3 linked regions of the Neodiprion lecontei genome follow. The protein of the gene in region 2 binds, or shares a complex with, the protein of the main gene of each other region. Links are inferred from orthologs where the notes say so. Each region holds a gene or a part of one and is shown on either strand. Other genes may lie near its edges.

Region 1 (11,834 bases), on a different chromosome or scaffold from region 2:
AAAACGCCCAACACTGATCGAACTTTATAAATTTATTTCTGTTCGCTGATAATGTTCATCTATTCTAGACACCTTTTCGTCGCGTTATCAATTGTACCTAAAGGAAGTATAAAGGTGAAGTTGGTAACGAGACTGTAACGATGTTTAGGAAAAATTGTTATTTTACACCATGAAGTTGAATTTTAGTAAACCATGATAAACAAAACATACTCTCATTTTGAAAAGCTGACTCCTTCAAAGTGATCATAATTATATATTTTTAAGTATATATATTTTTCCCTGACGTTTCGTTGCAATTATTTTACTAACTTCAGCCTCATAAGAACCTGAACTAAATAAAAATTCAGAACCTCCAACATAATTCATCTATCATACTATGATAATATAATTAAAATCATTCAGTAGTTTCCTTTAATGGTACTTTAGTCTTGCCGTACATGGCGTCTAAGAATAACCCTGAGAAGACTGTAATCGTTGCCAGCCATTGTCTGGGTAATAAATTATTACCAAATAATAAAACAGAACCTAGTACAGTAAAGAATTTCCTAGTAGTAGTCATAACGGAACATGGAAGAGGGCCGAAATCTGACACTGTTAAGAATATGAAAAATTGTCCAAACGCTCCTGCTAAAGAGAAGGAAACGATGTGCCATAGGCAGTTTGGATGTCTCTGCATAAATGACAAGAATTGTACAAGCTCTCCTGACACTAGGATAACCGAAGTACTGAATATAAATGACCAGAAATTCATGTTCAGCATCATGTGGCCAGATTTAGATTTGTGCTCTGCTCGCATTCTTTCCTGTACCGCTCCAGTCAGTCCATCCATCGTCAATGACAGCAGCAGCAAAAACTCTCCAAAGCCCATTTGGCTTTCGGTCTGCTTGGTATTTGCCACATTGTCTTTGTACATGAAGAGAGCAACGCCCACAACGATCAGTAACACGAATAGGTATTTCCTCAATGGATAAACCTTAAATGAAAAATTAACCATATTTTTAGTTGAACGACACATCTTTGGTTCGAGATAAGAATTATCATTATTTTTTATCATCTCACCTCACAGACCAGTCACTCTTAAATTTGAATAAAACAGTATTGCGAATGTTGTTGAGAAAATTATGAACGAATCATGTTTTTGCTTTGAAAAAATCTTGATTAATACCTTGGTGGACAAGAGGAATATTTACAGTAGTTTTAATCTAATCGACTAGAAATAACAGACTTTGATGGGGCATCGACGTGTTGCTTTAAACATGACAGAGTAATACTGATATGAATAGGTAAGAGAACTATTGCAAAATCTGTAAAAGGTTTGAATAATCGACAAGTTAAAATCTCACCTTCCTTCCGAGCAGTACACCGAGTATCATAACAGGAATAGGCTTGCCAGCCTTGCCGACAACCTGAGTAGGATAGCTGACAAATTGCAAAGCCATAGTACTACAAACCATAGCGAGTAGATAAGTAAGCGAACTGACAGCATAATAAATTGTACGAGTAGAGTCTTCGCCTTGTTTCATAACAGTCAATAGTATAACTTTGGCAAACATGTAGTTGAGCAAACATTGGACAGAAACCAATGCGAACGCGAATGTGAATTTTTCGGGTTTGTCGGCATCTCCGTACTGTCCTCTGGTTATTTTTTCTTGAAGAACACCGAAATAAAAGTAACACACGAAAATACCAGCTGCACAAACGAGCAACTTTATTTTCGACGATTTCTGACTACCAGTCATTATTGATCAGTTTCTGTCAAACAATATCTACATGTATTCCAAACGGTATTAGAACCGCGACATATGCTCATCGAGGTTATACCGGACACGTCCACGTCTCGTCCACTTTAACTATTTCTTGCGGCTTTGCACACGCGACTGAACCCGATTGCACCGCGCACTTATTGCTCAACGCGCGGTTACAGTTTCAACTTCAACTGACGTTTCGCCAAGTGTCGCCTCTTTTCGTGCGACACGACGATAATGCGTCCGAACCATTGATAACGCGAGTTTGTAGATCACCAAATTCTACGCGGCCAATACTAGTTAGCCATCGATTCAGGATAATTTGTACCAAAACAATTGACAGCGGCGTTGACTGAAGAATATATCTTCAGTCAACGACAGCGGCGACGACGATTTCCATTCGCAGCGTCAAAAAGGGTTGTTGACGTCAGTCAATTGTTTTTGGAAAATGCGTGCCGTGTTTGTAGCAGTTTTAATCGTCCATACTTTCCTTATCAAGGCTGCAGAATCTGAGGGAACGGATTGTCAATGCGGTAAAGTATTGAATCGAAAAACAAACGATGATCAGAGCGGCAAAACTGAAGGTTTCTGTTCCGCCGGTGAGAGTGAAGCTTGCACTGTCAAAGAGAATAAGTACGAACAGAGAATCAACGCTCACGATGGAATGGCGATGATAAATTCGGGCACCTTTGCCGTCGGTACAAACCAACCGATATTCGTGGCCGACGGTGAGGGTCCAAGACGAAACGTAACTCTGGACGATTTCTACATTGATGTTTACGAAGTTAGCAACAGAGATTTCGAGGAGTTTGCCAAGGCTACGGGGCATCGAACAGAGGCTGAAAAATTTGGGGATTCTTTTGTGTTTGAGGGATTATTGAGCGAGGAAACAAAGTCTAAGATAAACGAGGCGGTTGCTCAGGCACCTTGGTGGCTACCGGTCAAAGACTGTAACTGGCGTCATCCTGAAGGTCCTGATTCCGACATACTGGGTGAGGTTTTCTTCTATACATAGGTAGTCCAAGAAAATTGGTGAGAAGTAGACGCGCTTCGATCATCACAATCTTAAACACGTTCTCTATGACAGACAGAATGGACCATCCTGTGATTCACGTCTCTTGGAACGATGCCACAGCTTTTTGTAAATGGCGAGGCAAACGACTGCCTACGGAATCTGAATGGGAAGTTGCGTGCAGAGGCGGACTTGTAACTGAACGTCTTTTTCCTTGGGGTAACCGCCTCACTCCAAAGAATCAACACAGGTAAGCTAGTATTGGAATTACGATTGTTCGATTAATTTTTATTTCATTACATCCTCAAATTCGGCGACGCACATTCATTTTTAAATGAAAAATCATTGACAATTGCTTGATTATTCTTCTTTTTTTTTTTGACAAAATACGCACAACACATTTATATGATTCTGTTAAGAAACATGTTACTTATCAATTATTTCTTTAATCTTATTACTAGTATAGAATTTTAATTTACTTTTTCCGTGCAGGACCAACATTTGGCAAGGAGTTTTTCCTAGCAATAATAGTGCTGAAGATGGATTTGTGGGGACAGCACCAATCACAGAATTTCCACCAAATGGTTACGGACTTTATAATATGGTTGGAAATGTCTGGGAATGGACTTCCGATTGGTGGGTAACTGAACACAGTGATAAACCTGCAAAAAATCCTGTAAGTATAACTTTCCTGTGATAACATACACCCAATACCCTTGCAAAAATGAATTCTATTCTAACACAGGAATGTTGCAATTGAAAAAAACTCTCAAAAAAGCTATGATTTATTGCTAAATGATTGTCCTAAGTCAAGATACACAATTTCGAGTACTGGTATTCTTAATAGTTTATGCCAAGCACCTACATTCCATGTAATAATTGTAGTTAAATTTCTCAAATTCATGATCAGTCAAAATTTTGTAGGTCGGACCGTCAAGTGGTACAGACAAAGTTAAAAAAGGAGGCTCATATCTGTGTCATGAGAGTTACTGTTACAGATACAGGTGCGCTGCGCGCAGTCAAAACACACCTGATACTTCTGCTGGCAATCTCGGCTTCAGATGTGCTATGTCGATTTAGCAATATCTGAATTGTACTTAGGTTAAAATATTTTGTAAATACTGGTACACATACGCATGATTGGATAAATTTTTATCAAAGTTTTGATTCTATTTTTAAGCCAGGTCCAAGTCTTCCAGAATAATGTTTGACGTTTAGTATACGTGTGTAAAGAATCATTTCGAAATATGAAGGGTTTACATTATTCCTCAGAAATTACGAACACGATTTTTGGAGCTCGAGATACAGATTTAAGTAGATTGTGATTGTAACCTCAGGTAAACTGTACGTATGGAAAAATGGTAATAAATTTTTCAGAAATTCCCAATCTATTATCAATGTTTCATTCAACGCAAGCACATTTTTGTGACAGCGATCAGCAGGTTATTTTGATTTTATAGGAGCCTCTGGACTTCATTTCCTATTACTAGAATTTATTTTCAGAGATTCCATAATTTTGGAATTATACATCAATAATGTTTGGCAATGAAAAAATTACCAATGCTATAATTTGATTTGATGTTTTTATTTTTTTTTAATTTATAAGTAAAATACTCTATTAGAAATTGATTAATCAAAAAATGTAAATATTTTCGATCCATATTGAATATTGAAAATTTCGTCTACTTTTTAATGACTGTTTGACTATTGGTTTCATTGAAAAAGAATTTCTTAAAATAACCTTAACCTAAAGTATTGTTTGAGTGTATGATATCGAGTATCATTTTACTATCTTAATTTTTTTTATGGGTTTTTCAATCGGCTTAACCTCACCAAATCTCGCTCGCCTCTTTTCTATTCTTGACTCCATTTCAGCCTATAAACAATAAATTATATGATTCATTTTAAAGGCATTTCACAGTAACTGATACACTGCATTGATTAAAAAACTGACACATACTTTTTCCATCACACTAGAAACCGAAGCGCCGAACCTTTCAGCTCTCTTTTTCAGCACCTCAAAGGTCGTATGCTGAAATTAATTATTCACGAGATTTTAATATCATCCCCAAGTTATAAGTGTTCCACGAATCTAACTGTCAAGCTGATTTTGTTCAAAACTTACCACTGGAACGTTTATAGATGCTGCTGACTTACTATTCTGCGTGTTTGAATTAAACCTGGCCGACCTAGCTTCTTTCTTTGCAGACTCAGATAGAGGGACACCAAATTTCTTAGCTCTCATTTCCAGTCTCTGTTCAAAAACGATAATTATCAGATGGTGGATGGATGGAGTATAAAATTTGCAAAATTAATTATTTTTTAACAAGTGCAATAGATGAAGATATTTAGAAGCTGTGAATTTCAGTTGAAAATGCAGGTATGTGACAATCACAAAAAACGTGTAGTTATCATTTTTACCTCCTTAACGCCCAGTTGAGAAAGTTTGATAACCTTCTTTTCAGGTTCACTTGTATCTGATTTATTATTATTCTCTTTTCCAGTTAGCTCACTTTGGATATCTTCGAGAATTGGATTACGATTCAGTACTATTTTTTTGGAATTCGCTGAGTTACTTTCTGTTGACAATTTTCGCTTTTTGCCCACTTCCTGTGAGTCGGGTTTACTAGAAAGTTCCTCTATCTCTTCATCCTACAGGTACATATCATTCATTTATAAAAACGGGAACAGATATACAAACTTGATTCAGACCTGGTAATGCATTATTATTTTAGTGAAGAAACATAATAAACCAATACATTTCAGAGTCTTATATTCGGAATATTATCAATATTTCTGAAAGCTAAAAGGACGTAAAAATATAACTTACTCCGAGAACAGCATCCTCATCTAATATTTCATCCGTAGTCTCGTCAAGTGATAAAGTCGAATCTGTGAAACAAAATATCGGTGGCTGTCAAATATTGAGTATTATTTAATGCAATTCATTAATCCTGGGTATCCTGTAATTAAGCTAACGATTATGGTTTGCATTTTCATAATCCTACCTCCATGCATTGCTAATTGAAGTCGTTCTACCAGCTCGGTTTTATTTCCAGTCGTGGGCAGTCCTCGTTGCTTCAACTCCAACTTTAAATCTGCTACCTGTAATGAATGTCATCAATTGATGCATCAAAATTATTCCCTGCTATAATTAAGTACCTCTCAACTATCGAGAGGTTGGAAAATTGTATTCAAATTTCGAAGAATCTATAATCAACGTTATAAATAAAACCTGACACAGTTCAATCCATAAAGGATAACAGTACCCTTTTTTACAGTAAAAGATCTTTGAGACTTGAATTACTAGAATTTTTCAAGTTTGATTAGTGCACCTTCGAAGCAAAACGTGTTCAGCAATTTGACAACTTTCGGGATGACGATGGTTTCATATATGAAAGTTAAAACATATTACTATTCGAATGACAGAACTCAAAGTAAACTTTCTCCAAAATATAATCATTCAGGGTGCAATAAGATGGTTGGATTCGTTGAGGTTAACGTAAATATTAAATACACAATCGCCGCATGAAACAGTGCTAATGTATGCGCATACCTTCATCTTGGATAACTCGGTTAATCCTTTCTCGTAAGAAGAATCAGCCATAATGAATTATTTTTAATTACTAATTTTCACAAGCGGCAAAACTTTTCGTATTTTATCTCATTTATCACAGAGTTTTGGTACAGGTAAACGCAACAGAGCAAGCCAACCGAAATTCGTAATCACAGTTCGTAACTGTGAAATGTAAGAGGATACGAAAGACCGGAGGAACAATGGCGAAATATAGTCACGCTGATCCCGCCAGTCTCGACCAGTGGCATTTAGCCACACTGATTCAGCCCTGTTTTATCGGTGGCGCGCTTTCCGGCTTGACTGAATTTCCGTATGGCAATGCCGTACTCCATACTGACCAACGGAAATTAACCTCGTTTCAGTTTTTCAAGTGAAATCTATTTTCCTTGTAGTACCGGGTCTGTTACGAAGATTCTAATTGCCAAAATCAATGTTTTTCGGAAGCTCAAAACAAAAACACTGTAACATTTAGAAACGTCGGGCTTTTCTCTGGCGCATCTGGCGGTTGATTGAAAAATAAATTTAGGCCATCTCTCAGCAATGTAAATAAGATAATTTGAGATTTGAAATCTGCGATAGATATTTCATCATTGGTAATTGCAAAAGTTATTCGAAAAGCAATATCTCGAACGGAAATCGAATTGAAAAATCGAAAGAGTGAATCAGTTCTAATGATTATGTATTTTCAACTAAGGTTGCACGTATTGCATTGATCGTGCCTGCGAATTCACTCGCTATATTCACAAAACAGCACTGATTTACTGCTACATGAAAGTCACGTAAGGCACGGATGAACAGAGTAAATCATTTGGTCTATAATTTGGAGTGAGATGACAGTCAATGAAAATTATTACACCCACAACTATTTGTGGCGATAAAAGTTCCAACCGCAAGTGTCGTGCCGATTTATTTATTTATTAACTCTTTAATCTCTTGCCGTTATAATACAACGCCAGGTGCAGATCCGTCCACACGGTGAACGTCAATTTTCTGATATTTTTTGATAAACTAAGTTCTACATAACATTAATATGATGTTTACACAAGCCGCCAAAAATTCGCTCGAGAATTACGACAAAGCGTTTCATCGGCACGCTTTTTACGTAACCTTAGCTGAACCCATGTCACACGACATCCACACTGGTCGGCGGCGTCGCATTAGGAATTGGCGAGCTAAGACGAGACACAGTCTCAAAGGACAACGGTTTATGTACGTGACGCGACAAACGAAATAAACGAAAATGCTGCTCCAATTCACAACCACAATCACAGATCAAGCGGAACGTATCTTGAGACCGTTCCTCGGCATCGATATCGAATTGAAATTCGCATTTCATTATAATATAGCTGTCTTGTAAACGTAATATTTCCGCATGAATTGTAGTAATTGAGTCTTATATGTATATAGTAATGACTTTAATAATTACTCATTAAAGTACGGCATATTTGATTAATAAAAAACATCGCGCTAAAGACTGATGATCTGGAATGTGCTGCACTCTATGCGAAGCTATCAGTGAACATCCTTCTCAGCAGTTGTAGATTTACCTTGCTGTAAAATTTCTATTGAAAGGCATATCCGGAGTATTTTTTTCGTCCGAGCTTCCAACAGCTTGATTAATGCATCGAATAGGTTGTCCATTCGTTACGATTATTCGTAAACGTGGAGAGCGGGAAGAATCTCGTCGGATGAATTCAAATAAACGGGGCCAGCCGTGATTGACGGGTACGGAAATCACGTGGTTGCAATGGCGGGAAATCGTTGGAGTATTTCGAGCCGCGTACGCTTGGTGTCTCTACTGTGAGAACGCCGTCGGCAGAGTTTTGTCAGTAAACATCTCGAGCCAGGGTTAAAATTGAGGGTGATATCGTGAGAGTTTGTCTATTTTGTAGAGTGAAAAGATCATCGGAGTCTACGTAAGATTGTTTAATGAGTGTGGTTGGGCGCGTGGTACGCTCACTGCGGCCACAAATGATCAGGAAAGTTCTTAACGAGGTTGTCACGGAGGGAAAATGTCAAACACCTCGCCAGTAATAAATGGTGAAAACACTGGGAGCGTGGATTTTCGGGAACTGCTTACGGCACCTGGAACTACGGCTAGTGGAGTTAACGCGGCCGCGGCTCGTGCGGCATACAACATGGTTGCAGCAATGAGCGAACATTTATCAACTAACGTGAGGCAAAACGAGTTCCAAACCGCTGCCGAGGATAGCAAGGCGGGCATATTAAGCTTCCCCTGCGACTTCGACCACATGTACGCGAGTATGACAGACGGCGGTGCCCCGGCGACATCGGCACTCGGTGTCAGCCCCCTCCGCGGCAACGAGGCTCGTCACCATGACCTCACCGAGGTCAAGCACCTCAAAGAACTACTACTTTTACATCTGGACCTGATACAACAACAATCCGAGCAAATCGTTACCAAGGATAAACTATTAGCGGCTCTCAGGCAGGAGAATGAAACGGTATACAAGCAGACGTTCACTAGTACTAATTGAAGTGTCAGTATTTATTTACAGAGATATAACCGTATCGCTATTTCCCTACAAGTGACGCTCCATGTCGCTAAACATGCCTTGGACAACAAAGTTGTCACGCACATGCTGAAATGTCATTCAATAATCTCGCTTCACCGTCAAGGTCATGCTTCATGTACCTGCCGTTGGGTGGCGTTGTAACCGCTACGTACATTTGTACACATTACAATATTCACGTCTCTGACGCGTTTCCGATGACATTGCTCTGTCGGTAATGTACTCTCGCTCGGTACCGATAGCGTTTCACGCGGAATATTTGGCTACCTAAATTTGAACAACTTTGTTGAATCTACTGAAAATTCAACTTTTGTAGGCTTGAAAGTCCTCATTCCTGCTCAAAACTAATATTTCCTACCACGTCTTGATTTTGTGTATTTCAGCTGAAGTTGCGTTTGGAACGGATGGATAGACGAGTCAATCTACAAAAACTACGATCAGATGTAACTGAAAATTCTGTATTACCTGATCACGCCGGGGCTTGTTCTCCTACCAGTCTGAATTCACCAAATACGGCATCCACTAGTGATCATCAGAGGAATACTGAGTCCGAGAATAGCAGTCCTGCATATAACGAGAGTTTTAAAATACGTTTGAATACAAGCGGAGGTATAACTACAGTTAAACAAGAGCCGAGTGAAAATCATGTCAAGAATGAATCCAAGCATGAAACTTTTCGACAAGAATCGAGTAGCGACTCTCGACATGATTGGGAAATTAAGAAGAAAAGGAAGTCCGAATCTAGTACAACATCAATTGGAAAACGCAAGAGAGGTGTATCCTGCTCGTCGACAGTCAGTAATGACACAACTTCCACGATACCAGACAACAAGAGCGTGACTCACGAGAATGTTAAGAAGACGGATAAAAAGGGAAAATCCATTACTAAAAAGGAATCCTTTCTAACAACGGAAGAACATTATTTTACATCCATAGGTGAGCCCAACTACACGTTAAGTCTGTCGGAACCTGTGCCTTCAGATAATAGTGCTTCTCTGGAGGTCCCAAACTGGAGGGTTAAAGTTTACACCAGCTGTTACACAATGGAGGGAACAGAAAACTTAGATGATGAAATATTTAACAAAAGACATCTCAAGTTGGAAAATGATGAAAGGCGTCGAAAGAGATGGGACTTTCAACGGATAAGGTAAGTGACAAATATTTTCCTACTTTGAATTTATATACGAATGGCAAGTTTTTTTTTTTAAACATTCAATTTTGATTTGCAGGGAACAACGGCATATCGAGAAGCTAAAACAAAGACAAGAACGTCAAAATCATCAGGCAACATGTTATAATACGAACCACACCGGACCATGCCCAACGCTACCGGCAGAAGAGGCAGTAAGCACATTGTGGCCAGAACCAGAGCAAATTCAGGGACTTCAAGTTGACTCACGACTGCCAGTTACTGCGTTTGGTGTGCCCATTCCCACCTTTACCCCAACGTAAGTTTCCTTGTAGTGCTAGAAATAGTTTTGATTTCAAATATAGTAACAGCAGTGATCCTAGATTGTACGACTTAACTTTAATCATTCATCTAGAGTCAGACTGAAAGTTAATCTGTGGAAAAACAAAAAAACAGGCCTAAAGCATATACTATCTTGTTAAAGTTCATTTACTGTTTGAATTACAGTGAATTCTCTTTACCATGGCTACATACAGCGAGGTCGAAGAATCGACGCACCAAACGATCTACAGGTAGAAGAAAATCTTCTAGAAGATAAGCTGGCACAGCGACAGGCTGAACTTGTTTTTAATCTAATTACTATTTTAAAACATAGCTGTAGCGACGTCTTCTTAATGATTTGTTTTTAACTCTGAAGTGCGTTATTCCTGCAGTGTTAAATAGGGCACCAAAGATGTTTTTACTCTTTATTTTTAATGAACGCAATGTACTAAATCGATAAACTACTGTTATCGATTCAATTTTCTACAATTTTCTTCATTTACAATCACGCCCACCTGCCACTCATCGATGCGTGTAACTCAACGCACGATTAAGATCATTTAATTTTACAACTTGATTTAGGTACCTAACATTTATCCATTTATTTGTAATATCTTGACGTACGTCGCAAAAATTTGATAAACTGATGTTCATATTCGAATGTAACTTTTCTGTAAAGCTTTGTAAATTATTACTTTTATTGTTGTATAAAAAACATATCATTTGTTTTAAGCTCTTTGATTCATTCGGTACATTTTAGACAAATTTGGCTTCATCAATTATTACAGTATCATTTTTTTTTTTTTTTAACTTTAACACATGTATAAAAGATACAAATGAAACTATATAGTATTAGCATACTATACACGTGAGAAAATAATGTAATGATTAGTGGTTAGAAATGGTCGTAACTAATTAAAATACAAAATTTAATATTTATCGCACCCTTTAAATTCTTTTAAGACGTAATGTTTATAATAATTTCTCATGATGAAACTCAATTCCCAGTTACTGCAAACAACGACAGTCATCCAAATCATAAACCAGTATCATGAAATCAACATTACAGAGGATTTTTTAACAATAATTCCATATTCTTACACGTGATAAGATTGGATGATACAAGTTCTAATAACGTTGGTTGTTTTTGTTGTCTTCAATAATTAAAATATTTCAAAGTGGTACATCATGAGGAGGGATTGCAACTGTTACCTCTGGCAATGTCAGTCGAAGACGACAAAACTGAAATATTCATGTTCAAATTTTATCTTGTAAGTCTTACCTCTCATATTCTTTTAAAGCACTTTTTTCCCAAGTAATAAGATTTGCAATTTTTATTGTTAAAAATCGAAATGCTGGGCTCAAACTAAGTTTAAATGACTCAAACTGTGTTAATGTAACTGATTATAATTTTCACACTGGATTAACAGGACAATTGGACAATGGACCATTGAACTACCAAAAATCATAACTTATATGACTATAACAATGATCAAGACGTGTATTCAAAACATAC
Region 2 (10,286 bases):
TGTACAACCATGATCTCTGAGTCTATTCATCGCTGCATGAGTTATTTCTTGCTTGGTTTGGCTGCTCAGCATCGTACCAATCAGAGTTTGGAACCTGAGAGTAGCATTTGGCTGAGGGCCGTCGTGGCGTTCTATTTCGTCACCAGGAGCCGTGATATTTTTCCGCATTTCCTGAATGTTTGCTAAAATAACACGCCAATCTTTCGGTTCCCATCCGCCGCTGGTTGACGTTTTTTTACTTTCTGTTGTTGGGGATATTTTCATTTTTTTCCCGTGCAAATTTTCGTATTCGACCTTAATCGGAAGCCGCTTTTTTACCGCGGCTTTTACCATTTCTGCTCCTTTTACACCGTCTGGTGAACGTTCGGACGTTGGATTTAATATTTCACCGACTTTCTTTTTCATCGCCCTAGTGTACCTAGGCGACGCTAAGATGTTTAATTTCGAATTCACGCTCATTTTTAGTCTTGTTATTAAAATTGAGGTTATGACGGCGTTTTAAATATTACCGTTGACGCTCGCACGCCCATTTGGAATGCTCGTATATTTGAGCGACGGTGATTTGAGTAATGGATACAAGGGCCTGAGGGCCATTCGAATATTTCACATGTTATATAGAACGGGGGGAGGGGGGGGGGGGGGGGGCAATCAATGGTATGGCTACAAACCTTTGTTGAATTACAAGGTCCGGAGAAGGCCTAGGGAGGGATGGTAAGATACCGGTAAAACAAGGGACGAATTATTGAAACTGTACCGCATTTTGGACAATTACTTTTTTACCTGGAATAATTTGATAAAGGACTTGGAGTTTTTTTGTTCTAATACAAAGGAATGAGCTCAGCACAGTACAGTCGATCCTATATTTATAAAAATATACCGTATATAACATGCACGCCTATTGCATCAGTTTCTTGATTTGTACCATTTGTACACCATATTTTAAACCGACTCATGCTAATCTGAATACACGTCACGGTATAATTTTCAGGTTGGCAGTAAATTTTAATTACCTGGTATATCATGCAACAAAAAGAAGTGTTAGAAAACTTTGCCACGCATCTCATAAATCTAGCTTTTTTCAAAGATAAGCACAAGTAACACAAGAAGTGGAAGAAAAAAATTATAGAACAAGAAAACAATGTTCTTAAATATTCAAATATCTTAAACGAAACTTTTCAACACTTTTCACAACTCGACTCAAAGCCTTACTTTGCACCATTCTTCTTAGCGTAAGGACAAATGTTTTTGTTTAAACACTCCGAGCATTTTGGTCTTAAAGGGAGACAGGTTTCTTGACCGAATCCTACTAAAATGTAGTTTACTTCTACCCATTTGTCTTTAGGGAGCCATGATTCTAGCTGAACTCTAGTTTCTTCTGGTATTTTTGTTGGTTTACGCACCCAGCCAAGACGGTTGGATATACGATGCACATGTGTGTCTACTCCAATGCCGGAAACTTCACCCCATGCAATTTGCATGCAGAGATGACCCATTTTGGGCCCAACACCGGGAAGTTTGCATAAATCCTCTATCGTCTTTGGAATATCCCCAGCATACTGTGCCAGCAGGATGTCCGTTGTTTTTTTAATATATTCCACTTTTCGCTGAAATATTGAAACAAGGTCAATATCATTTTGTGAAAACCTTTTATTAGTATAAAGATCAGCACGAAGATATACGGTAAATCTCAGCTAGAGTAATATCGAAAGGTCTACTTGTTGCATTGGTGTCTCCAAATTATTGAATTTTTATACAGAGTTTTTTAAAGGCTGTGGGATACATTGGGGAAATGAAAAGATAGAGTATGATTTGCTTGCGTACCTTCCAAAAACTAACTGGATAAATTAGTTTTCCCAATATTTCATTGTCTGTGAGTTTGATGTTTGCAGGTGTACAGCCGTGGCTCTTGAGTTTCTCCATTGCTGCATGAGTTACTTGATCCTTAGTTTGGCTGCTGAGCATGAGTGCGATCAAAATCTGAAACCTGGCATCAGAGGCAGTAGCATTTGGATCGCTGCATTTGTGGCATCCCATTTCATCCACAGGAGCAGTACCATGTTTGCGCATCTCATAAATATTTGTTAGGATAGATTTCCAGTGTTCTGGTTCCCATTCATCATTGATCGGAGGTTCTGCCCTCTTTGTTTTTGGTAATTTTTTCGGTTTCGCCTCAGGTGGATTCTCGTACTCTACCTTAATCGGTGGCCGCTTCTTAGAGCCAGCTTTCGCAGGTTCTGATTTTTTCACATTATAGGGAAAATATTCTGACACGTTTGTTGTCTGGTTGAATATTTCACCAATCTTTTTTTTCATCGACCTAGTGTACCTAGGTGAAGCTAAATTAGCGAGCTTTAACTTGTTGTTCATTTTGAAATTTCTTTTCGTACAGCTTAAGCTTGTTTTCTGGGGTAACCAACTAAAATCTCAAATTATTTTGACACACAGGAGACGCCAAACTATCTACGCTGCAATTGGATCATCATTGAAAACAACAAAGGTAAATCTAATAGCCCATTTACGTCAAATATTTTCTATGAAAAATTCACAGCAATCGCAGATTAATAACAATACGATGATGGAAAGCCTGATCGATTTAGAAATTTTTCAGTCTCATCTCATGACACAATTCCTCACATATAAAAATTTAATTTGCAAGTTGCTGATATCGAATCGTGTTTACACTTTCAAATTTCGCCGAAACACAACTGAAGCTTCCCTTGATCTATTTCTGACACATGTTCTAGTGGTTCGAATACGTCGGGAAAATTCATAGACCAACTAAACATGCTAGAAGTACTCACGTAGTCGAGTAATTCTAGGGATCAATTCTATTTCACTTTTCACATTTCTCACTATCCAAGCATTATGATTGGATGACTCAAATTTGCAAACTAATCAGAATGTTTGCATGGCGGGAAACGTGAAAAATGAAATTACGGAATCGATTCCCTGAAGCATTGACTGAAGATACATAAAGACTGATAACCCTGGGTTAATTTTTGTGACAGTTTGCTGGGTCTGGCCGGGCTTGGATATATTACATTGACGTATCATTAACCAAGCTACTAACCACGCCGGTAAAAGAAGTTCTTCATAACCAACATTTATCGCGTGCAAGATGTTCCGAACATACCCTCGTCACCGTGAAATTGAAAAATTGAAAAAATCCCGTACATGAAATATCTACGCCGAAATTATACAACGGAAATATAAATGTCAATCAAATACATGAACGTGTATCGTTTATATTTACATGAATATATCAAATCTTTTACAGGCGCCAATAGCATCACTAGGATACTCAATTTATTTTTTCAGAGTTTTTTAAGTAGTAACTTTGAGCTGCAAATATTTTGGAAGAATTTTGAAATACTTGATTTTTAATTCCAATTGTTTGAAAAATGTTCCAACAAACTAATTCAATTTAGAATTTTGGAAAATCTCGAAAAACTTAACTTCCAGAAGCTTAGATGGGCAAATACATGATATTGGAAACGGCTCAAGCCGCGACGGGTAATTAACTATAGCCCAAAATTCGCAAAGAAATTAAAACTATTTAATTCAGTCAACAGCAAATCGATCGCGTTGCTCAACTCGCTGTACCCAGTAAACCAAAGCGAATTGAAATGAATTGTGTCAGTCAAAAATGAAATAAAAACAAATTTAATAGAATCAACAGACCTGTGTGCCAATTCTTTTGAGTTCCAATTGTTTTGTTTTAATTCCGTTTTTAACATGCTCATTTCGTGTTGGTTTACTGGGTAAACACTTTTGGAGTTTTAGAATTTCAGCGAGGCTCTCGTGAGCTCATTGTCAGCCGCTACAGCAGGCTCAATGAAACTGAACACAGTCGTGACATACAATGTATGCATTTCCACAATGGATGCCAACGCTGACTAAAGATGAACCTATATTTTCCTCGCCGCTCTCTACAAGTACGTAGATCTATTCCACCTCTCACGAATATGCTTTTATTCCATACTCCAGCAAGCCAATTTCTCACTCATTCTCTATCAAGTTCAACTCCTTTTATTTTCTAAATTCTAATTACTCTGGAAGTAGCGATTCCAACATTCATCAAATCTCAGAATCAAGTTTTTACGAATAACAATTTCACACTCAACAGTGATTGATATCAAATTAAACTAGTTTTGGCCATCGATACTAATTCTTTTTTCGCCCGTCCATTCCTTGCATAGAAAAATAGAGAGTAGTAGTCACGTGTAATGACGCGTAGACGCCGGTCTGTCTAGTCGAAGGTCTAGTTCAAGCCGTGAGCTCGACAGCCGTTTCTCGGAACTAGTTCACTACCCATAAAACGCAAATCGATTGACGAATGTATTGAATTATTTGTTTATAAATTTATAAATACGACGGGATAAAAGTCGTTTTAACATAGAAAGTACAGACATTTATAGGCAAGCCAGTACATATTTAAATGTAGAAGTAAAGTACAATGGACGCTATAGGTTTATGGCTCTGCCGCAGGGCCGAAGGGGAAATAATTATCCGAAATGGCTAGCTGCTAATCGCACCCCTGCTGGTGTCGAAATCAAGAGCACTGCGCGGCGGGGAGTCTCTTTACGTGACCGGAAACATACACAAATTAAACGTTCTTCGGGGAAGGTCAATTATTTTTTATGATAGTAAAACCTTGAGCTTTCTGGTGCCGACTTTTCAGCTGGGCCCATCTCCCGCTGCGCTGCAGTGTGTCACCACCCACCGTGTAGGGCTCTCGTGATTGCCAATTAGCCATTTCGGACAATTTTCCGATCATCGGGCCCTGCGGCAGAGCCATATAACGTATTATATCTAGCGTCCATTGTACTTGCCTTGTCTATGATGTCTGTCTCGTGTACACAAAGCCATAGTTTTATAGTATACCCCAGCCGTATTGGATTACTTTTGTACGGAGGCCAGAATCCGTTATTTTTGGAACGATTTCCGCATTGGAATAAAACATGCTTAATTCGGCAACCTAAAGAAACGGGATCCATAATTGTGCTAATCGTTCCGTTTCTATTCTTTTTCAGTTGTCGGGCAAGCGAAGGTGTAAACATTCTTCCACTATACCATCTTCTAAATCCTCGTTGAATGCTACCAGTAATTTTTCTGCAGATTCTCTTATTTCCTTAATTTATAATATCTTCAGCCGTTCTAGAAAACTGAATTTTTCATGAAGCTCTGCATATACCAACTGCGCCATTACAATTCTGCACTGAGACTATCATCTATTACGTTAAATGTATTTATCCGAAAGTCATCTCGCCCACTTTCAGTACTTGGGCTTTCATCTATTCTGAGTTTTCTTTTCTTAATCCGCTTATTCTCCGTTTCATATTCTTGAACAGTCGATGTAGCCTTTACCATCTCTTCAAAGTGGTCGAAGTTATCTCTAATACTTCGGGCGAAATCAGTAAGCGAATGATATAATTCCACGACGGTTCCAATATCAATATTTACGCTCTGCAACTTCAAATTCACAAGGTTGAACCTTTTCAAAATCAAACCTCATAAGTTTGCAATAATGACTGCAAACTGCTCGGTCTCATCACTTGCGATACTTTTTAGAGCAGTGAAACTCCAACCCGCAAGCCGTGTTAAGGAACTTCGTTCCAAAAATGCATTTACAGACCCAATTTCTGCCGCCCCCTAAAAAATGCCGTTCTAGGTCCGAATCTATCGGCCCTATAGGTAAATTCGGCGCTGAGTATGAGTTATGTATTAAACATATCTACATAAATTACATAAGGTACAGCATATAGGAATAACTATACATCTTCATCCTTTGATTAATTTTTTCGACTATTTGTCCTATCGTTTGTATCAAGAAAAGGTTTTTAACGCTGTTAACAGTTAACCAGGTGTATGTTTATGGTGCATGCATCTATTTAGATAACATTATTTTTGTCTATCTGATGGAGTTGGATTAAAATTGCTGAATTTGGCTAAAATGAATTTGCATAGTTGAAAAGTATACGGCGTCCTTACGGGGTCATATAAGGATTTCAGTCTGTTCCTGTTCGTCATTCCATAGGAAAATAACATTTAATTCTGCATTATTTGGGTACACGCGGTGAGTCATTCGGTTTTTGTCGCCTTTACGTACCGACAGCTTGCCGGCTTCAGTTGCGCATGCAGGGAAGAGCGCAGATGGCGTTACTTGACGATAAATTAATCTCGTTCATTTTCGATTACAAAAATTCCCACAAGGCTATCAGTATTTATATACCTTCAGTTAACGCAAATGAAAAATTCCGCAAATTTTGATAGTGTTATTCGGAACTAAAACACATTATTATATTTTTATTTTACGAAAAATATTTATAGAGGAGTGGGGGGGCATACCTGGCCCTCTAGCGGCAGAGTTAGAAAGCTAACCAATCTGGTAAAAGGCCGGGCGGACGTCTACGGTTGATCAGTTTACGAACGTCCCTGCAGTTGTGTAGACGCGTCGCTCGTAAAAGCTCGTAGTAGTTTTCGACACTCTTCGCGGTCTTGATCGCCATCTTTGACATAACGGGGTGAGGTTGGTTTTGTGCGTACGAGTCCACTGTTAAAGCAAAGAATTTATTACGTACAAATGAAGATGGTAGACAAAATAGAAATGAGTCTGGATGACATTATCAAGCAGAACAAAGGTGGAAGAACCCGGGGCAGCGGACGTCGTGGACGCGGAACAGCTTCGCCGAGACGTGGTATCCGAGGTGCGTCGCGAGCCGGCGGTGGAGTGATGCGCGGCCGAAGCCGAGGAGGAATTGGCCGCTCAGCCGTTCCATACACCCGGGTAATTATTAATTTTCCATGCTCATACTCAGATCATTCCAGATATCCCAAGTTTTTCATAAATTTATATCCGAGACGAAGTTGCTTTTTTCTACAAACACTCATCGGGCATCATTCGCCTGTGTGTATCGATGCATATATGACCGCTAATTTCGGAACTGCACACATGCGGTTGTGTTCTTATTGCGGATATTATATCACGTCAATTTGTTTTATTTCTTTTTTGAATTTCACTTTTCCGTACTTCATTCATCGCTTCCAAAATTACAATTACGTTATTAAAAACAAAATTAGGAACTGCAAAATGCAGGAACGCTACACTCCCAACACCAAAAAATTCTAAATTGCGCCATTTTAATGAGCGCGCCTGATTAAACGTGGTATCAATAAAATTTTCACGTTTGACCTTTTCAGCTAGAAAATGCGTTTCACTTTTTGATAGTTCTCCCACGGTGTAATTTTCTTGTATTACTTCATTGGCATAATTCGATCGTTTGTGAATAATACGAATAAAATAATCTTGATACTGCAGTGTCTATATTGGTTTCCCATTTGTTTTTGGGTAGTCTAAAAAGAAGCATACAGTAATGGTTTTTTTTTTTTGTAAAATTCTACAAATATTCATTCACAGTCAAACATGAACAATCTATTATATATGTTTAAAATGCAAATAGTTTACTTTAACCAGTTATTTTACAGATGGTTGTAGTTTGACCTCGTTCACTTGTGTACTTCTAAACTTCTTTTAATTTTTTTGTTTCTCTTTTAAGATACCACTATTATCCACAATATATTTTTGTTTACATCAAAAAGAATTCCACAAGATGAGTTGATAAATGCTACTACGATGAATTTGTCAGTCGGAATGTTTTCACCCAGTTGAATAAACATCACGATTACATAGTTTTCTGTTTTTTGTGTTAAAAAATATACGAGTAATTGTAAAGAACAAGTAAAGTAAATGATATTCATAAGCTTCAATAAGTATGTATGTTCAACTGTTAAATTATATGTATGAACTTGTTCTGTTTTACCTGATAACACACAGAAACACACAAGTCTCGTGAAGGTCTATTTAGAATGAATTGAATATATTCGAACTTTGTTTAATTTAAGACTATTGAACCTCTCGTTCATCATAATAAGATTGGATTGTGTGTTAATTTTAGGGAGATGTGAACAGTGCTTGGAAACATGACATGTTTGATGGAGTGAAGAAAGTTGGACGAGGTGCAGTTGGTGGTACAGGCACAACCAAACTACTTGTTTCAAATTTAGATTTTGGGGTGTCCGATTCAGATATTCAGGTAAAATATTAATGCAATGTATATCTAATATTTTCCAGTCTATTCAACAACTTTTAGTTTCTTATCAAGAACATGTCTCTAATTTTATAGATGGTGATATTCATTAAAACCTAATTCTAATACTTAATTTGGGAGTTCAAGTTTTCTGAAAATTCAAATAACTTTTAAGTAGATCTCTAGTTGAAAACATGTAAACGAAATTTTTTGACAGTACTTTAATAATTAATTGAATTTTTTTTCATCTTAAATGACAACTAGGAATTATTCAGTGAGTTTGGCCCATTGAAATCAGCTGCTGTACACTATGACAGATCTGGTCGATCGCTTGGCTCAGCAGATGTTATATTTGAAAGAAGAGCAGATGCCATTAAAGCAATGAAACAGTACAATGGCGTGCCTCTTGATGGTAAGTTTTTTTTTTCCTCTTAATATTTCAAGTTCAATTACTATACAGTCAAAATATTGTGCGATTTTCATTAATGCAAAAGTAATAGTGGAGGATAAATTCTTTGTAGTAAAGTATTAATACAGTTTTTATGACACATGCATGAAAAATTCGCATTTTGAGGACTGTTTTCAAACTGTAGAATGGTACTTTACACTGCTGACTTCAGAACTGCAGTATAAAAAATTTTCATGTTGCACTGTAAAAAATATCGTATGGAGCTCGAGTGTAAATTGCTACTCGGTCCATCTAACGTTTGTGGCACGTCATACTTTCGGTATGTCGACGACCATCGAATCGTCTGTGCTGATAACATCTGTCTTACCGAACAACACTCAGTTCACGCCCATGCTACGCAAAATAACTACTTAATACTGACTATTCGGTCAACAGGTCGAGAGATGAATATTCAAGTAGCAACTTCAGAACTTCCAGTAACCTCATCTATCCGAGGAAGTAGACTCAGTGGTGGTAGCTTCGTACAAAGAGCCCAACCGCGCTTCAGAGGAGCTCGTGGAGCTAGTTCCAACCGAGGTACTTTACTGTTTACTTGTTACTCGTCTACCAATTATCTCAAAATAGTTGATGTATTAGAATTTAAGTTTCCCAGAAGAGCCCGTAATGTTAGTGTAGCGAATATTTTTTATATCATTAATACTTACCCACTTGCGAGTTTATTACGTCTAATTGGATGGATGTTTGTTTTCATTAGGTCGTGGAACCGGTGGTCGACGTGGTGGAACTAGAGGAGGTGGACGGACGCCAGCCAAAACTCCAACTGCAGAAGAGTTGGATGCAGAATTAGAAGCATACGTTAAGGAAGTGAAGTAACATAAGATAGCATAAAATTCTACTACATATATCTTCTTTCTCATTTAACGGTTCTTTTATTAATTGAAGAACGTAACAATCTCTTATTTCCAAATAAGTTAATAATCATGAAATTAATACGTGAGAGTAAAGAAAAAGATTTTTTTTTGATTGTCTCGGAATGAGTATTTTTTAATTATGTTTGACGTTCTACTACTCATAGAGTTTAGATACCTAATAACAACTCAAATGCAATATGAAAAAGCTGCAGAGTAAAATCGTACCGTGATTTTTGGCATCCGAGGTAAAAAAAATGTCCATCAGACATGGGAAAGAATACAAAGTTGTGACATAATATAAAGGCTGTATGAATTTTGTATGTAATACCGTGCGTGTGTGATCATAAACTGAAAAATACACTCAAATTCTCCTTCAAAAGTTGTTATTTATCAAAGTACGTCATGTGCTTATAGCCCTTAATAAGTATAAGTTGAAGGCAACACTGTAAAAATAACTTTAGCCTTATGTAAGTGGCGTTCCTATTATCATCATCCTCTTTAATAATAATCAAATTACGCAGATTTTAAGTGTAGCACATTTACAATAAAGTGGGTAATTGTTATAGAAACGTCTTAACAGTGTTGATAACGATATTATACAATACACACAACATTATAACGTTTAAAATGCTTGTAATCATTTGTAATTGTATCCAAGATGATGAGTTTTTTTCACCATAGTGAACTATTGTCGTTATCAAATAATGACATATGCAAGATTTTGAGAAGAAAAAAATATGAGGGAAAAAAACCACCGCAAATAATTGAGCTGCGATGTGTTAAGGCTGTGAACATATAATTCAGTCAGGTCATCAGTAACTAATTTCTTTCTCAATAATGGCCTGATATTACTGGGTGTCGACGTGTATCTCCAATACA
Region 3 (10,772 bases), about 11 Mb from region 2:
CATGATCAGGAGCCCAAAATCTTTCAAATACGAAACTGCGAAACCGAGTTAGTCACGTTCTTCATTTTTCATTTACTCTTTTCCAAGCGCCGGTTTATAATCTAGAAATTAGATCTTTCATTCGAAATCAGTGACCTCGGAAATCTACCGAAACCAAGTTTCAATAAAATCAATAGTTTTTTTTTTGGATGTAAAAGTCTTTTGACCTCAGGAAAGAATTTTCTTCCTTTGCGCAAAGTGCGTAATGGTATCGAAAACTTTCTACAGGGACTGGTGAACAATTCCAAACTTTGCTAGGAGTGCTAGGATCCATTATCAGTGTATGCTCATAACGCGACATTTTGGGTCACAAATTCTACAAGCCATGCGAATTTTTGGTCAAGACCATTCGAATAGAAAGTGACGTGCTCTTCCCAGTTTGAGCCGGCCAGCCCATGAAACGGTACCGAATCGAACTTTTTTTAAACCTGTTGGTCAAATAACTCAAAATCTGTATAACATATGAAATCTATAATCTGATCACTTTTAAGTTAAGAAAAGTTGCGTCGATTGACATGAATATAATTTAAATCCTGACGTGCATCCGATAATGGTCCGAGGTGATTTTCTAGACCTTGAAGCATCGAGATCCCGTGAAAACTCAACTATCTATTGTCGGAGTGATTCTAGTAACTTTCCGTATTCTTTTGTCCTTTAAAAATAAAGGACTAGAAAGTTAAAATACCGCTTAAATGACCGTAATCATGTTCCACACGTAAGTACGACAACTTGTCCCAGTCTTTTCTACGCTGGTTTCCTATGTTGAAAAATCGTCAAAAAGCTCTGAACACGTTTGACCAGACGTTTGTATTATTCGGTCTTCAGCCGCAGCGGCACTGTAATGACTACATACGTAATATGTATACAGTCAGAAGATTCCGCTTTGTTCACGATATTTGTTTGTACCTCGGGTGTTTTCAAACTCACAGAATCTATAGCCTGCGGCTAGCATTCGACATGAAATAGACATTCTTTTTCGAGTCAATCAACGTCTCGACGGTGATCTGAGCTCACACGCAAAACTGGCTGTAAATTAATATTTATTCAAGCAGGATTAAAACTTCAACGATGCGGAATCATCCAAAGTTCATCTGAACCGGGTTAAATTTTAAAGAATCTAAATCGACTTCCTTTTATTTTATCCACGGACATTCGCGATGGATTCGGAAATAATTTCATGTAATTTCATAATGTACGTCACACATGAGACATTCTAGACCATTTTCACCAGTTGGACATGGCCCTCCTTTTTTTTTTTTTTTTTTTTTAATACACAGTAGGGCGTCACAAATAAAACGCAAATCGCAAGGATCGGCATTTGTTTTAAATGAGTTTTTCTATAATTCTAGAATTTAAAATCATGTGAAACAAAACGACTACCACACATAACTGATTTCACTTGAATAGGTATACACAGTGAATTCTTTGTGAAAAACAAAAATGTTTAGCAAAGCAAAGACGAGCAAACCAATTCAATAACCTTCGTTTCTTGTACTTGTGAAGACATAATATTTCGATAAAAATCTTTCGAGCACATCACGTTAGTTCTGAACCAGCTCATAATTGCAGAACAGCGTTCCAAGTACAAATATTGCTTGCGAATTTCGTGTAGAGGATATTTTTTCAGGACTCCACAAAAAAAAAAATCTATTAAATTTTCTCGAAAATGTATTTGACACTTGTACGCACGAAAACAAAGCACGATTCAGAGAAATCAATTGTGCATGCGACACATTACAGTACCGTGATCTATTATAGGGGCGGATGAAACCACGTCGTAGAAATTCATAAAAGAATAACGGTTTCTGGTTTAGTTTGACTTTCGTAAACAGCATTGTAAAGACGTGGGGGAAAATCTTACGCAGCTTTGAATAGAAGCTCTTGACATTGATGAGGTTAGTGATCAGAATTTAGGCTACGATTAGGTGGGTTTAAGTCGTCAATATTTCAAACATAGCAAGAATAACTCTCGGTGATTTCGTTAACGCGGCGAGTCCGTTTCTCGTCTCGCTGCAACGGCCGGTTTTCTTTCTCTTTCTTCGTAACACCAAGTACTTTATGCTATGCAATGCATCGCGCAAGAACAGAGTCCAATTCCTGCTTAATTGCTTTTCAAGCTTGTTCAAAAGCCGTGAAGTTCAAGGGGCGTCGTATAACGTTCCGTAACAATGCGGAATGAAAATATTATAGTTTTACGTGAAATCGGTCCGAGCCTTGGCACGAACTCGAGCGATTAAGCTGGCGCACAAAGGCGGAGGGAGATCCCTAAGAATTCTGATTCGACAATAACTTGCGTTCTAACTCTCCGTAAGCGACATACCGGCCGTTTTACGTAGGTCGCGTGAATGCGTAGGTAATTTCGCGATTACCGACTCACGGCAGAGTCAAAAATACGAAAACAAAAACAGTCGAGAGAAATGCGTAAGCGGTCCTCGGATTCAATTATCCCTTTCAAAATCAATCATTTCGCCAATCTTATATCACAGCACAATGCCAAAGGACGTCGGGTGAAGGCCTGTGACGAAACGTTGGAGGGAGGCTCGATGCATCGATCGTCGGTATGACGTCACAGAGCGACTGCGTGCGTGAGGAGAGAGAGAGAGAGAGAGAGAGTCGGCCACAGTGAGGAAGGGATAGAGAAGGGAGACGGCCCGGGGAAAGTAGGGGACGAGCACCTGTGACGGTGTCGAGGTGGGGCGACTACGTCACAGACGAAAGCGCGCGGGTCGAAGGTCGAGATAACTCGGCATTGGGGAAGCATTGCAGTGGTTGTCAAGTTCGTTCTGCGTAGATACCTTCAGGGTGGCCACACTGATTGGTCATGGAAAAAACTGAAAAAATATCAGTTTTCTGTCAAGGGAATCGGAAATTGAGGTAACGAGTTTACTTTCTTTCGTCGAGAAAATATATTGGTTTATACTGGCTTTTTTGTGCATTATTTTATTTTTCAATTCGAATTGAATTTGAACCGAATATAGGAGTTAATAAGCTAACCGATTCAGGTTTTGGTAACTTACTAGAACGGGGAAAATTTTGGGGGGTTTTTTTTTGGAAGAATTTTGTGGCCACCCTGTGCGTTTGACTGATTCGACTGATCCTGCGATGGAATTATACGAAGATCTTTGAACGCAACATGAATCAGAAAACACAGTCGATGTTGGAAATGTGATACGCGTCATGACATGTGATATGTGATATGCCGAGACTAGGATACTTATAAGTAGTAAAACCATCTTAAGCCTCCGGGCAAACACTAGTCTTTTAGGGAACGGTCGTTTTGTAAGTATCAATTTTTATGAATAATACTTCGAAATTTCTGAGTTTGCCAACTTTTGGATAATGTAGTTAACACTCTGAGAAGAGGCCGTGAATTTTTTCCGATTTCTTGAAAGCCTGGAACATTTTGAAAAAGTGCACGGACAAAAGTATCTCTTTAACGTACTTTATCATCTCGTACAGTTGCATTTTCACAGCCTATGAAAAATATCAGGAAGTACAAAAAATAATACAGTAAGATCGTGTGATTGTGTGATTTTGTCATCATGTTTAACTAATGTAAAATCGTTTTCATGGCTTCGCGCTAGATTTACACATGGTAATTCATAAACTGAAAATGTAAACTAGCGATATTCTTTCCTACCACTTCGAATTATACAATTCGACAATTATGAGGATAAAATAGACGATCTGTAAATATCTGACCGTCTGAGTGGTAGAAACTTCACGAGAATGGGATTCAAAATACTATGCGAAGTAAGAAATACTCGAACGGTATTCTAGCTCTAGCGGTTACCGCTAGATATCGCGCCAATCTCGTAAGTGAAACTACTCGGCAGTAACTTATAGTTATAACAATTCTTGGAGACGAGATTTATTGTGTCCATCTATTTTTGAAGCATAGTCAAGGCAAAGATAGATACATTTCGATTTATCGTCTGTGTATACGTATGCATGCCTGATACTTGCGTCTACTAAGAAACGAAGACAAATTGCGAGGCAACGCGATCTGAATAATCCGTATTAGCATAAGTTGAACATACATCGTGCTTGCAAGCAATGTGAGTGAGTTCTGCGATACGGTGAAATTGAGGATCGCTTACTGGGGATGATGTCACAATCGTCATGGCAACTCCCACAAAAGGGTATTTGAGTCAAGGAAGAAAGCTCATCGTCGGTGTTTAATTACCGGTTTTCGTTTCCGTCTCTGAATTATTCATGGAGTCTCAATTCTACGTAATATTTTTGAAAGTCGTTTATGTGTTTGAAAATACAATGCAGACTCAATGAAGTTTTCATTTGTTGGGATATTCATTCAATTTCAAAGAATCTGCCAGTATAATAGTTGGGAATGTATGCCTGGACCAATATGTTTCGAAATAAATCATACGCAGTTCGTTTTTCTAATAATATAGACTCGGAGAAATTATAGCATGTACATTAAAGAAAAAGATGGAGAATGTTACGATGTGTAATTAAATAACTATGATATTTTGTAACATCGGATTTATGTTATGTTTGAATGAGTGAAGGATTTTTGGATTTTTCATTGACAGAAAAACTTTATTGAGAGGTATTGTAAAACAATTGCTGGAAAAATGTTGAGTTGGGATTTGAAAAAAAAAATGTATTGCACAAGTTTTTATTCATCATACTGTTTAATAACAATGATTCGACGTTTGGATCTTGTATACACACAGCATGTTGAAAATCATGGAAGTTTCATTCTTATTCTACACTGGAAAATTTGCTCGAAAGAGAACGTCAAGAAATCGTAATAAGAATAATAAACTTAATGAAAGTTAATAGCGTTAAAATAATTAATTGAGAAAATTAATTAGTCTTAAAAAATACAGCATTTCGCTCAAACAATCGATAGATATTTCGATCTTATTCAGGTGTTGGATATATTTACCTCACATTCGATGGCCGAACATTTTCAAAGTACACGAGTACAGCTAAAAAATTTTACGAACACAAGCTGTACAGTTAAAAAAATTCACTTACGCAATGCTGATTTTTTTCAACGGCTAAATATTGACGACTTCTTCGTGAGTATTTCTCTATTGGAAGACTATTCAATTACAATACTCAAACTTTGCACTGAGTTCTGTGTTATACAAGTTCAGATTGTGCATGTGTGCCAAATCAGCGCGGTGACATAGGTTAACAGCTAATTAATTCAACTAGTTATACTGAAGGTCAGGGGTATTTTTCAGATGAAAAGGTCAACGCATAAAGCCGCACGTCACGGCATCCTCATGCGTCACAGCGCAGACGCATGCATTAAAGCTCCATCACGACCGTACCTCAGAAGCATCATTCAGACGATAAATTACGATTCTGGATTCCTCGTGAATACTGAAAAAGGCGTCATCGCCATATCTGTATCGAGTTCGGACGAAGACCCTACTTCTGTGCTAGGCTGCATGGGTATGTACCGCAATATTTGATAGTTTGGTAGATTTTGTCGCAGAAATACAAAGAATTGTATTTCGAGTCAGGAAATTGCCAATTGATTGGTAAATCTATGCATTTCGTACGCCCATGCTCTTCTTTCAATTTTCATAATCCCTCGCACTGACTCTCCACAGTCTATGTATATTAATGTCTTGAACAACATTTCACTTACAATTATTTCTATGAGTATCGAATCGGAATCGAAATACGTTTAAATAACCTCCCTCGAAATATTTCCTGAATATTACTAATTTATTATCGTCAATAGCTACTCGGTGTATTCAAACGCGTAATGCACTTCAGATTAAAGCGGTCCATCAATCGTAAACGGCGGCTTCGTTCCCAGAAGGGAATATAGTCTCAAAACGACTAGGAACCAGTGGTGTAAAAGAATTGTTTAAACATATTCATCAAAGTGTTTTTTCAAATTATTCCATACTTCGTTGCGGTATACGTTTGAACCAAATGAGTTTATATTCATCAGTCTTCGCCTGTGGTGAGCAAAATCCACATTCTGTCGAATTCCGCAATGAACGGCTTGACTAGGGCGAGTTGATTCGAAACTATGACGTTGTCCCAGTTTCCGTGCATCGCTTGCATCGTCCAATTTGTACTCCCCGTCAAAATCAGCTTCCTATCAATTATCGCAAACTTGTGATGCATCAAGTATTCCGATTTCTTCATCCTCACTCGAATACCTGGCGATGAGGTTATACAAGAAACGATTAAATATCATTCGCTTGACCTTTATTTTGATTTTTGATTCAACTTTGTATAGCTGCTATTTACATGAAGAATTTCACAAATACTCATTGATTATACAGGTGAGAAATACTAGCTTTGCTTCCACTTTGAGATTTGAAATTTGAAAAACGGTCTATAATTGTGTGATTTTAGCGGGTATAAACGAAATTCTCGAGGTCCCTGTAAATTTCACGTTGTTAAACGACATGCATTAATCAACTCAAAAAACACATGTTTTCACGTTCAACGCACTTGTAATTGCACTTGAAACTTAAAACCCTGATTTCGTCACGACAGATTCTTTTTTCAGTACGTTGTTCGAATTTTCTTCGATTTTCGGTACTTGATTAATTTTTAAATTACAGAGTCTAATTCGGACGTGAATAGTTCTTGAGAAACTGTGTACCTAACGGCATAGAATATCTACGAAATTTCATCAATATCGTACAAACTATTTCGAATCAAGATATCACGTGAAGAGTGTCGAAAAACGTTGTTTCGAGTAAATTAATTGTGAATTTTACCGTATCAATTGCAAATACTAAAAGTTGACTTAGAAATTCTACGCGAAATGGTGACGAATCGCCTTACTTTCTGAGAAATCCTGTTATTCAAATTGTTTGGGAGTGATTTAGATAATGATACGCGTGCGATTTGAAGAGCCTGAATTGCTTTGAACTAAGTAAAATCTTACCTCGTTCTCGAAAATCTCTTATACGACGCTCACAGGCGGAATTTTCCGCCATTCCTCCATCGACGATAATTCTGACAACTACTCCGCGACAAAACACCTTGGCTATCGCTGCTGCTAGATCCTCACAGCTGAATAGATACATGCAAACATCGAGATTTTGCTGAGCAGATTCCAAATATGCGCATAGTTTCCTACAGCAGAAAGAATACGTATTTCACAAGTCGTATATATCGTAGCGGATCATTTACAGCAGACAGGCCGTGTCCGTACTAAAAGCAACATGACGACGTTGAAGCAAAGATTTCCAGGGTGGGTGTTTCGACGCTTCGAATTGAATAGATATCTTGTGATCTGTCTGTTACGAAATATGATGTTTGTCGGTAGCAGGGTAGGTTATAAAATCTACGAGATTGAAGTTAGCAACGTTATTGTAACGAAACGTTGAGAAATAATCACTATTTTATTACGGTTTGCTGAATTTCAAACAGCTGCGAAATTATCTCTGTGAAGTTGGTACCCCATTTTGGAAAAAGTAAGTTTTCGTTTTTACGAGTTCTGGATAGTGCTCAAATAGTTCTACAGTTCTATACCCATATGAGAAATACTTCTGGTTGTTTACCACCAATTGTAAGAAAATAATAAACAATAAAAAAAATAACAACAATGCTAGCACCCCACAATTAAAGTACGGCAATTTTTTCGAGTTCTAAGAAGATTTCAGAAATAGCTCGAGAACTCTTCGAATTCTGATTGAATCGGAAAAATTCATTCGAATGATTGACGGAACTCACGCTCGTCTATGCGAAACTCTCATCGGAACTTTGGGAATGGTTAAAATTAATTTTCGCTGTAAGTAATGCGCGTGGATATTTTGTTCAATATCTCGGTAACGAAACAAAATAAAAAAATTTGAATCGGCTGAAACTCTAGAATTCTGAAAAAAAAATGACTGGTTTTAAATAACGGAGTGCTAGCATTTTTGTTATTTTTTATTTTCTATTTTATTAGTGGTAAATAACCAGAACTATTTCTCATATAAGCATAGAACTGTAGAACAATTCGAATACCATCCAGAACTCGCAGCAAAAACTTATTTTTTCGAAAACGAAGTAATCAGCGAAGTTGGCACCCCATTTTTTGAAATTAATTTTTTGAACCCTAATTGACCGGAACTATTTTTGAAAATTATCCGGAACTTTAGAACTCTTTGAGAAGATTCAAGAACACTCGAAAATTTTTATTTTTTTTTTTCAAAAATGGGGAGCCTACCTCACAGAGGTTGCAAAATTGCGAAATAACGGGTTTTCATCAGCATGAGTCGTTACGATAACGTTACTAATTACAACATGATTAAAATCTTCAAAATTGCTCTTTGCATTTTGCACACGTTTCTTGCTCTTATTTTGTGTGAATACTCTTGTTTATCAAGAGATTATTAAACCGAGCGATTGATAGGAATGTTTGCGCTCTTTCAATTGGTTTTTCGACAAAATTAGACTGTCTTTTTCGGCTTTATTAAATGTGAAAGCCTGATCTCGAAATTAGTATGGCATCCAAGGTACATCGAACGTCTCTAAAAATCTTTTCATCGATATTCCTATTGCATTATTTCGATTGATTCTCACCTCAATTGTGTAACCGAACAGTTGGAACGGTCGCAAGGTGTTCTAGAGACGGCGTGCATGCGACAGTTGGATGATTCTTCAGAGAAAAAAAGAACCTCGTTGATGCTCTTTGAGGATATTTTACTTCGAGTTCTTTTATACAATTGCCATAATAGTTCTGTGGCCAAAACTCCCGTGAAAACTACGATCACCACCTTGTTGGAACGGCCAAAAATCCACATGTTCTTCATCATCGTGATTCCTGCACGAAATTATCCTATGAATCATGTTTCATTGGTGTGTACATATTTCAGCTTCAATTATTTTTAAAAGTACAATAGAATTTATGTGAAGGATTCGCATCAGAAACATCGAATTCAACATACGAAGCCCCAAAACTGTGTACCCCTATCAATTGATTCACGATTCACGTTTTCAAAGAGCCTCCCCATAAATTGCCCGTTTTGTAGCTCGCGTGAATTTTTCCGAAACAAGGGCGAAATGATACTTTACGATACCTCGATATTCACGAATAAATTCAAGCTCGAGTATACACAAGCTTACGGAGATACGGGGAAGTAAACTTTTCAAATTTCTATTTATTCGGTAATAGAGTTCCACAAAAAAAAAAAAAACATTCTCATGTATTTTTTGACAATACCCGTAGACCACTAAAATAATTCAATAAAGCAGAAAACATCCCCTAAAACAGGATGAAGCAGGTTCTTTCTGTACGTGTAAGTACATGTGTAGGTACGAATTAGTATTTGTTAAAAACATAGACACGTGTCATTCAGATTTATTTATAATATCATTTACATCTCATCAATTTCAGTGTTTTTTTTTTTTTTGCTGAAAAATATATCTACGGATTTTCTTCATCAAATCCGTAAGCACCATATTTCTAAATCCCTATTTCATTGCTTGAATTTCACATCAAAATACATTTTAAATTGTCAAAATCATCTTCGAAAAGTATTCCTGCTGTGGTTAAAATAAAAAATTGCGCGAAATATTGATCATTTCAGCAATTACACGACTGCTATCTACTTTTAGAATGAGTTGTTCCAAAAAAACTACATCGTAAATTTCTGTTCACCTTCTTTCGGTGAAAAATTTCAATTTTTCCTTTGGTCATCTTCATACTTGCTAGACATTAGGGGTGTGCGGGTATCCGAAAATTTGGATATTCGAGCTCGGGTTCAACTCCGGTTTTTTGGCAATCCCGAAATCTTCGGATAGTCCGAAAATTTTCGAGTACCCAACTCGAAAGTAATCCATTCTACCCGACCCGATCCGACCCGAAGAATTTCAGTACCCGCACACCTCTACTAGTCGATAATAAAATTATTTCACGATAATGTGCTAATAAAGCAGATATGAAAGAATTCGAGAGTATATTTTTCAGTGAGCCTCTAGTCTGACTTTTCGAGAATAAAATCTCCACGACTTACAATTCCAGACGGCTATGAAATTGTCGTTCAGATTGTCCGAGATTTCGGAAATGACACAAGTTCGAAATTTTTCAAAGTCTCTGTTGACTTTAAAATCCCGTTATTTTTGGAGAAGCGAAAACAGTCGTGAATAAAATTTTCGAAAACTCCGCACTTTTCGGCAAAACCGAAATTTTCGAGGTACTCGGAACTTTTTGGTGACTCGAGATTTTCGCGTACCCACAATTTTGTGGTAATCTGAAATTTTCGGGTACCCGTCCTCGATCCCAAACGCCCCTAAATATTTGCCTCATTTTGCATCACCTATTCAATTCCACGGATTGATAATTTGATATATTCTTTTCACATACTTATAAGCTTTATAACTTGGTTTTAAGTCATTATATTTTGCTTTAAATTTCGGTACGCATTGCATGCATATGATTTCTTTTGTCTTCTAAACACCTTGAGAAACATTCATTCTTGCTTATGTTAACCTTAAAGTCAATTAATATTAACGGCAGTCTGAATCCAAACTTACGTGCACGTACGTACCAGAAGGTCCACACCAGAGAACGAGTGGTATCCTTTCAAGATCGCAAGCTAACGGTCAAAGCATTTTCTCCGTCCTAATGCCTTTTATGGCTTCGACTATTCTTCCCACCAATACTTAAGAAAAAACTATTCAGCATTCAACGACAGTTCGTTAAAGACAAACCAGATGCCCGAAAATCACTTTATGATATTTTCGGACATGCAGGAATTGACGTGCACGTACAGCGTAATAAACCCGTACGGAAT

What was found. The genes of interacting proteins can lie anywhere in the genome.
Region 1: THO complex subunit 4 (region 2) and SAP domain-containing ribonucleoprotein share a complex: the UniProt entries of both Homo sapiens proteins name them as parts of the transcription/export (TREX) complex. The link is inferred for Neodiprion lecontei from reciprocal best matches to the Homo sapiens genes ALYREF and SARNP.
Region 3: THO complex subunit 4 (region 2) and THO complex subunit 1 share a complex: the UniProt entries of both Homo sapiens proteins name them as parts of the transcription/export (TREX) complex. The link is inferred for Neodiprion lecontei from reciprocal best matches to the Homo sapiens genes ALYREF and THOC1.

Annotation. Positions count from the first base shown.
Region 1 is NC_060263.1:36,076,142-36,087,975, forward strand, and holds SAP domain-containing ribonucleoprotein, read right to left. Parts: upstream 6,552-11,834; 5' UTR 6,365-6,551; coding exon 6,314-6,364; intron 5,863-6,313; coding exon 5,766-5,862; intron 5,650-5,765; coding exon 5,588-5,649; intron 5,410-5,587; coding exon 5,179-5,409; intron 5,012-5,178; coding exon 4,883-5,011; intron 4,790-4,882; coding exon 4,718-4,789; intron 4,634-4,717; coding exon 4,538-4,633; 3' UTR 3,838-4,537; coding exon of another isoform or gene 3,682-3,837; 3' UTR 3,434-3,681; coding exon of another isoform or gene 3,250-3,433; 3' UTR 3,019-3,249; downstream 1-3,018. Other genes in the region: solute carrier family 35 member B1, read right to left, coding at 395-973, 1,344-1,739; formylglycine-generating enzyme, read left to right, coding at 2,194-2,737, 2,833-3,007, 3,250-3,433, 3,682-3,837; male-specific lethal 1 homolog, read left to right, coding at 8,347-8,799, 9,252-10,015, 10,098-10,316, 10,505-10,595. UniProt on the Homo sapiens protein: Binds both single-stranded and double-stranded DNA with higher affinity for the single-stranded form. Specifically binds to scaffold/matrix attachment region DNA. Also binds single-stranded RNA. Enhances RNA unwinding activity of DDX39A.
Region 2 is NC_060261.1:38,210,639-38,220,924, reverse strand, and holds THO complex subunit 4, read left to right. Parts: upstream 1-6,417; 5' UTR 6,418-6,583; coding exon 6,584-6,787; intron 6,788-7,955; coding exon 7,956-8,093; intron 8,094-8,351; coding exon 8,352-8,499; intron 8,500-8,931; coding exon 8,932-9,072; intron 9,073-9,250; coding exon 9,251-9,369; 3' UTR 9,370-9,786; downstream 9,787-10,286. Other genes in the region: endonuclease III-like protein 1, read right to left, coding at 1-459; endonuclease III-like protein 1, read right to left, coding at 1,206-1,604, 1,822-2,367. UniProt on the Homo sapiens protein: Functions as an mRNA export adapter; component of the transcription/export (TREX) complex which is thought to couple mRNA transcription, processing and nuclear export, and specifically associates with spliced mRNA and not with unspliced pre-mRNA.
Region 3 is NC_060261.1:27,606,659-27,617,430, forward strand, and holds the start of THO complex subunit 1, read left to right. Parts: upstream 1-5,254; 5' UTR 5,255-5,469; exon of another isoform or gene 5,470-5,976; coding exon of another isoform or gene 5,977-6,194; intron 6,195-6,934; coding exon of another isoform or gene 6,935-7,125; intron 7,126-8,559; coding exon of another isoform or gene 8,560-8,792; exon of another isoform or gene 8,793-8,815; intron 8,816-10,512; exon of another isoform or gene 10,513-10,772. Other genes in the region: mitochondrial cardiolipin hydrolase, read right to left, coding at 5,977-6,194, 6,935-7,125, 8,560-8,792. UniProt on the Homo sapiens protein: Component of the THO subcomplex of the TREX complex which is thought to couple mRNA transcription, processing and nuclear export, and which specifically associates with spliced mRNA and not with unspliced pre-mRNA.